Linked DNA regions of Arabidopsis thaliana. The protein of the gene in region 1 purifies or fractionates together with the protein of each later gene. This does not show direct contact. Each region holds a gene or a part of one and is shown on either strand. Other genes may lie near its edges.

Region 1 (3,753 bases):
GAGATCTGACATGTAAGTATAATGACATTTTTTCATAACATTTTTCTGGTTCTTCCTATAAAATGTTGGTGGTATGATATTTATAACCCAAAATACAGAGAGAATTTCTTCAAAGAAGCTGGTGAAGTTGTCGATGTTAGACTTTCTTCATTTGATGATGGGAGTTTTAAGGGATATGGGCATATTGAATTTGCTTCTCCAGAAGAAGCTCAGAAGGTAAGTTCATATTGGGTTTTTTTGGTATCATGGAAGTGGTATTGAAATTACGATGATGATTGGATTCATTTTTGGATGTTTTGAATGTAGGCATTGGAAATGAACGGTAAATTGTTACTAGGCCGCGATGTTCGTCTTGATCTTGCTAACGAGAGGGGTACTCCACGAAACAGGTACGTTTCTTACTTTGCCATATGAGCATGATGGGATTATGTATGTTTTTGTTTATAGGCTAATATCTGGTTTGTTGGACTATATGCAGCAATCCTGGTCGCAAAGGAGAAGGAAGCCAAAGTCGAACGATTTACGTTAGAGGATTCAGTTCTTCTCTTGGCGAAGATGAAGTAAAATTCTTGTCCTAGACTTTTCTTAAACCAATATTAACATGTTACAAAAGCTATTTGTGTAAAACTCTGATGCAAACCACTTTTGTGATCATGATCAGATCAAGAAAGAGTTGAGAAGTCATTTTAGCAAGTGTGGAGAGGTGACAAGGGTTCATGTTCCAACAGATCGTGAGACTGGTGCTTCCAGGGGCTTTGCTTACATAGATTTGACGAGTGGATTCGATGAGGCGTTGCAACTGAGCGGAAGTGAAATTGGAGGAGGGAACATACATGTGGAAGAGTCTAGACCAAGAGATAGTGATGAGGGCCGTTCCTCAAACAGAGCACCTGCTAGAGGAGCACCTCGTGGCCGTCACTCAGATAGAGCACCTCGTGGAGGACGTTTCTCGGATAGAGCACCACGTGGACGTCACTCAGATAGAGGAGCACCTCGTGGCCGTTTCAGTACGCGTGGAAGAGGACCCAGCAAACCAAGTGTAATGGAATCATCCAAAGGTTTGTTTCTTCTTCTTCTCCTCTCCTCTTCCCCTTTTTTGTTGTTGTGCATTGTAGAATTAGTGTTGTTTTAAAACTTGTGTGTTTGTATGGTCTTGCAGGGACGAAGACGGTCTTTAATGATGAAGAGTAGAAGAAAGCTGTTTTTGGTTCTATCTTATAGTAGTAGAGCGTTTTTGGCCTAGTTTCTTTTGTTTTCTGTTGAGAAAAGCATTAAGCTTTATACTCTTCTTAAGATTCTTTTTGTTGGTTTTTCTTAAAACTTATTAAGAGCACTTTACTTTGCTGCTCAAAATTTTGGAATAAATCCTTTTGACTTCATTAGTGGTTCATTGGCATTGCTATCAGCCCTTCTCAGAATAAAGCTTAGACAATTTAAAATCTCTAATTATCATTCTCTGTTGCCCATGCCAAAAGTTTTTGAGTAACATTTTCTAGACAGATCACGTGTTATGAATCTGGCTAAGACAATTCTCAGTTTCTAAAAAAAAATATTTTTTAGAGTTTTCACACGTTAAGAATTTTATTAATGTTTAATTATAAATATACTATTTTGCATTAAACAATTTCCATAATTCTAACCCAATAGTAATTCAATAAATATAAAATTTTCAATCAATATTTCTTGAAAATAACAATATCTTGTTATTATTTATTGAAAAAAATACATTGAAAACCTAAAAATTATATCTTTATAAAACAATTTTTTTTCTTTCTAGAAAATACACTAAGAAAAAGCTGAGGCTTCACAACCGAATTGTTAACCATCTTGATTTTGGGAGTAGTTTGTGAATTGTAAGCCAAAAGAAGAATTGACTAATGTATTTTTAAAATAAAAATAATAGACGGATAAAACTGAAATTATGTGCATTTTAGTTAATCACATACTCATTTTTTTTTTAACACAAGTACATACTTATTTATATAAAAAAAATTGCCGATATTATACGAATTACTGAAATTAGGTGTATAATGAAATAAATGTTAAAAAATAAAAAAATAAATAAAAGGTTACGAATTACACAACTTCAAAGGCTCGTTAAACCCTAAACCTTGTCTCCGCGCCGCGTTATCACTCTTACGTTTCTCTCTCTCTCTCAACTTCTTCCACAGCAAATTTCTTCGATTCTCTGAGCTCTCTCCCATCCTTTTCAAGTGGCTTCGTTTCTAAAAGTAAGTTTTTTTAATCTATGGGTTCTCTTCAAGTGGTTGTTCCTTTTCGAATCTCTGTACCCTAGATGAAATCGAGTACAGCTTTAATTACTCTGTTTTTCTTTGGGATTGCTCTGTTTCCCTTCTCTTAGAGGTGTATAATTACTCTCAAATTTGTTGTTTTTTTCATTCATAAATTCATTAATATTGCTGCAGAATTGATTGGTTGAAGAAAGTGGAAACATGGTTGAATCGGACAAGTCATCCGTTGAAGAGCTGAAGAAGAGGGTTAGGAAGAGAAGCCGTGGGAAGAAGAATGAGCAGCAAAAGGCTGAAGAAAAAACCCACACTGTAGAGGAAAACGCTGATGAAACGCAGAAGAAGAGTGAAAAGAAGGTTAAGAAAGTGAGAGGCAAAATCGAGGAAGAGGAAGAAAAGGTGGAAGCAATGGAAGATGGTGAAGATGAGAAGAATATTGTGATTGTCGGGAAAGGGATAATGACTAATGTGACTTTTGATTCCCTCGACTTATCTGAGCAAACTTCTATAGCTATCAAGGAGATGGGCTTTCAGTACATGACGCAAGTACGTTAATTTTAACCTTCTTCTCACTACATGGTCTTGTGACTTGTTGTAGAGTATGTTTCTAAGTCTCTTAATCATTTTTTGCTATTATTCAGATTCAAGCTGGATCAATTCAGCCCCTTTTGGAGGGGAAGGATGTTCTTGGTGCTGCCAGAACTGGTTCTGGTAAAACTCTTGCTTTTCTCATTCCGGCTGTTGAGTTGCTGTTTAAAGAGCGTTTCTCTCCTCGCAACGGGACTGGTGTGATTGTTATTTGCCCCACAAGGGAACTTGCTATCCAGGTAATTTTCGTTTTTATTAACTTAAGGCATTTTCAACTTGGTAGCAACAACCATGCTGTCATTTCGAGTAGATATGTCCTGTAATTGTTGTAATGCGCTAGGTAGATCAGATCTGTAAGGTTCTCGTTTTTCTTCTAGCTGAATCATTGATATTGCTTTGTGTTTGTAAAGTATGAGCATCGTTGTATGTTATTGCGGCCTCCCATTCTGGTTTTCACTTTACTATTTTGATATTTTAGACTAAAAATGTGGCGGAGGAGTTACTCAAGCATCATTCACAGACAGTCAGCATGGTTATTGGTGGCAATAACAGAAGGTCGGAAGCACAACGCATTGCCAGTGGTTCAAACTTGGTGATAGCAACTCCTGGTCGTCTTCTTGACCATCTTCAGAATACAAAGGCTTTCATTTATAAACACTTGAAGGTACTGTCCTTTCCATTGTTACATTTGGCGTGTTGTCTAGTCTTCTTTGTGTGATGTAAATGCAAAAAGCTTTACTGTTGAGCCACATGGCCATAATTTCCAGTAAACAAACAATATTATGTAAAGGAGCCCATAGATAAATATTTGAACTGTTGACAACAGCTTATGCTATATTATTTCTGTTGCATCAATGTTAGACTTACAAATGGAATACTGCCGATGTGATCCACACATATTCCGTGGTTTGTTTAG
Region 2 (3,753 bases), about 15 Mb from region 1:
AACCTGTTCTTATCTGATGCTTACCGTGTTTGGATCCCATATTCTAACAATGTGTTTGTCGGTAGTAATCAACTTAGGTTGTTGAGTATTAAGAGTCCGTTGCCACTTAATATTCAAAATTGGGCTCTCGTACCTGCAAGTTTTGCAGAAAATCAATGAACACTGAGGAAATAACCTAACGATATAGCATATACAAAGAATTTTGAGTTAATACAAACACAGTAAGACTTACATGTGATCCTTCACTCTTATGGGAGTTGAAGTACGCAAGTCGTATATGAATACCTGCAGATACCGAACAGCACAATCAACACAACATATCTATATAATCAAATTGACCTACCAATGTTTTAAACCTTTCAGATAAAAAAATGAATATAGCATCAAACCTTTCCCGCGCTACTCCCGACAGCTACTTGAAGACCTTCACTGTCATCAAACTCTATAGCAGTAACCTCCTATTAGCCAATTTAAAGCACAAGATCATCAGAAATCAATGCAATTTTCACCAATCACATGACGTCTAAGCTAAGAAAGTCTGTTTATTTGGAACACAAGTTAGAAAAAATTACCGCAGCAGCATCACCACCATGTGTGACCGCGTTAATTCTAGCAGCAGATGATTTCATTCTCATATCAAAAAATTCCACAGCACCATCCTCACCACCACAAGCAACTAATCCATGGAGGTTGCTGGAAAGAAAATAGTGCTCAAATGTAAGCAATAATAATCTAGAGTACCAGAATCGAATTTTCTCCTAGATGAAATCAAGAAACATAATAGAAAGAAAAGACAGTTCGGTATACAGACCTTCGAGAAACGACATTAAGCGCTGGGGATTGAGTGCTGAGAGGAGAAAGAAATCTTCCCTAAACAGAAAGAAGGCAAAAAACACAAATCATTCTCTAACAAAGACTGAGATAGGTCACAACACTAAACTATTATAAATTCACTGGAAAGTACCTGCTCCAAATTGATTCTATATAGATCAGGTGAGGAAGCAGCGCAAAGAAGATCACAAGACCAGGAATCATATGTCATATCTCTCCCCATCCTGCAAATATGTGAATGCTTTAGACCACGAAAGATATATCTCATAGACCAACAAAGCTAAAGTACCTTGGAATTCGTAAAGTGTGGTGTTTCCCGTATTTGGCGTGTAAATTAATAGAACGATCAGCACATAAGAAGGCAAGCTTTGAGAAGTCATCATCCAATATCTGTAGAGCCAACAAAACACAATACTAAAAAACCAGAAACAAGATAGTTACTATCAATGGTGTTAAGACACATCTCATGGAGCAATAAAAGGTACCTCGAAATCAACTATTTCCGAGTCCAAATGCCTCTCAAACTTCAAAGCAAGCTGATTTAGCTCATAAACTTTTACCTGTGGTGGATATATGCCTAATTCAACAAAAACGAAATCAGTGAAAAGTCACAAGAGAACATTATTTCTTGTCAATAGCATCGAAGTTACAAAGAAAGAAAACGCACCTGAAGCAATCAGATACTCTCCGTCTGGAGTCGCTTTGATTCTAGTAGTGGCAGTCTCAAACTTCAACTCCTGAATCAGCTCCACTCTTTGCATATAATCTTACATCGAAGACAGAAAAAAAGGACGAGCCTTTAAGAGACAGGGTTTATGAAGGGGTTAACGATTCAGAGCTGAGACAGAAACAAGAGGTGAAACTTACGAGGGTTTTTGCGGAGAGCTCGTTGCTTCTTAGGATTAAGCCAAGTAGGAACATTGGGAGCAGAAGAAACATTGTATAACTTAACTCCATTAATGGAGGTCGACTTCAGTCTATCTCCATAAGACGTCATCTTCAAGCAGTTAAGAACAGGAACCCCTAATTCTTCTACCCTTGACGGCGAGTTGCAGAGAAAACGCAAAAATTGAAGCCAAAAATAAAAATGAAAAGAAACACCACTTGTAATACATAAGGCGGTCGTGCTCTCCGGCAGAACAAAAGTCGACGTCGATGGTCACAATTCTAGGTTTCTTGGTCTCTTTTTCTTTTTCTGGGCCTTTTAAAAACCCTAAAACTTAATGGGCCTATTTTACTACAATAAGCCCTTAAACGATTATATAATCTGTGTGAAACAATACAAAAAACAAAAAATAAAAAAACGCCTACCTTTAACTTCGAATTAGGGTTTATCAGGATTCAGTCGCCTGCTCACTTGAATTTCTTCGCAAGCTCAAAAAGTTCCGGTAAGCGATTATTTTCTCTTTTAGCTGTCTTTCATAAAAGGGTTCGATTTAATTTCGAATTTAAGCTCTACTGAACTGTGATTGATTGAGTTGATTCTCTGTAGTAGCGATAACCTTAAAGAAATTTGATTAGTTTTTGTATGAATTCATCGACACTGTAGTATATTTCTTTAGCATCTGATTCTTTAGCTCTGTGGTGTTGTGATTGACTTAAATTTGTGTGTAGAAATTTTTGAAGGAAGATGGTGAGGCCGTATGGGATTAAAGTGAACAAGAGAAAGGAGAGAGAAGAGAGGTATGATAAGGAAGAAGATGAAGTAGAGGAGCAACCAAAGTTTGAGCAAAAACAAAAGGCAAGAGAAAGTTCGAAGAAAGCTAAAAAAGAAAGCACTTCAAGAGCAGAGGAAGATAATGACGAGGAGGAAGTAACTGTGGAAGCAACTGCAGCAGCAGAGGATATTGTGGGAGGGATACCTATTGTCCTTAATGCTCCTAACAAGGAAAAGTCTGGCATTGTATTCGTGCTTGAGAAGGCCTCTCTTGAAGTTGCCAAAGTTGGAAAGGTAATCTGCAGGAATGTTTGCATTACAGTAAGCCTCGGAGTTTGTTTATGGTACTAATATATGTGATTACTGATTGTGTGCAGACTTACCAGCTACTGAACTCGGATGATCATGCTAATTTCTTGAAAAAGAATAACAGAAATCCGGCTGATTACCGACCAGACATTACTCATCAGGTCAGGGTCTTAAAAACTGTTATGTCATATCTAGGTAGCTTATAACAAATTGTGACTCATCTTTAGTGGATCTCCCTCTTCAGGCGCTTCTTATGATTTTGGATAGTCCGGTTAATAAAGCTGGGAGGTTGAAAGCTGTTTATGTTAGAACAGAAAAAGGTGTCCTTTTTGAAGTTAAGCCACATGTTCGTATACCAAGAACTTTCAAACGATTTGCCGGAATCATGTGTTAGTTGTCCAACTTTCCTCTCATCCTTTCTGATATTTTGTTACTTTAACCTCCTCAGTTTTTACTGTCTCTTATCCTATTTGTTGGTCTTGCAGTGCAACTGCTACAAAAGCTGAGCATTACTGCAGTTAACAGCCGTGAGAAGCTTCTACGGTGTGTCAAGAACCCTATCGAAGAACATCATCTACCGGTTAACTCCCACAGAATAGGTAAAAACAAAAAAAAAACTTTAGTTTCCTCCTACATTTTGTTGTTTATCCAGATTATGTGAGCTAAAAAGAGGGATTGTCTCTTTCTTATATCAGGCTTCTCGCATAGCTCTGAGAAACTCGTCAATATGCAGAAACACCTAGCTACTGTATGTGATGATGATAGAGACACAGTTTTTGTGGTTAGTGCTCTCCAAATGTTTCTCTCTAGTCTCTAGCTTCTTCACAAAGTCCATTTAATTTACGTAGTAATAGGCTTTAGCTTGCAACCTCCATATATCGGTCTTATGCAAACCCACACCTTATTTGTCTCACCATTTCAGGTAGGCGCAATGGCACACGGGAAAATAGACTGCA

Evidence for each region. Proteins that work in one complex are often made in the same cells at the same time.
Region 2: the proteins of AT3G18600 (region 1) and AT3G57000 fractionate together in Arabidopsis thaliana (co-fractionation; one large-scale study listed by BioGRID). This does not show direct contact.

What each region holds. Positions count from the first base shown.
Region 1 is NC_003074.8:6,401,708-6,405,460, reverse strand, and holds the start of AT3G18600 (P-loop containing nucleoside triphosphate hydrolases superfamily protein), read left to right. Parts: upstream 1-2,068; 5' UTR 2,069-2,231; intron 2,232-2,426; 5' UTR 2,427-2,453; coding exon 2,454-2,795; intron 2,796-2,890; coding exon 2,891-3,076; intron 3,077-3,315; coding exon 3,316-3,501; intron 3,502-3,753. Other genes in the region: NUC-L2 (nucleolin like 2), read left to right, coding at 1-12, 99-216, 307-389, 479-560, 662-1,058, 1,160-1,191.
Region 2 is NC_003074.8:21,090,149-21,093,901, forward strand, and holds the start of AT3G57000 (nucleolar essential protein-like protein), read left to right. Parts: upstream 1-2,034; 5' UTR 2,035-2,219; intron 2,220-2,445; 5' UTR 2,446-2,461; coding exon 2,462-2,782; intron 2,783-2,865; coding exon 2,866-2,958; intron 2,959-3,041; coding exon 3,042-3,186; intron 3,187-3,282; coding exon 3,283-3,396; intron 3,397-3,492; coding exon 3,493-3,578; intron 3,579-3,719; coding exon 3,720-3,753. Other genes in the region: EDA7 (embryo sac development arrest 7), read right to left, coding at 25-133, 233-285, 390-458, 573-693, 812-870, 965-1,055, 1,121-1,221, 1,317-1,408 and 2 more.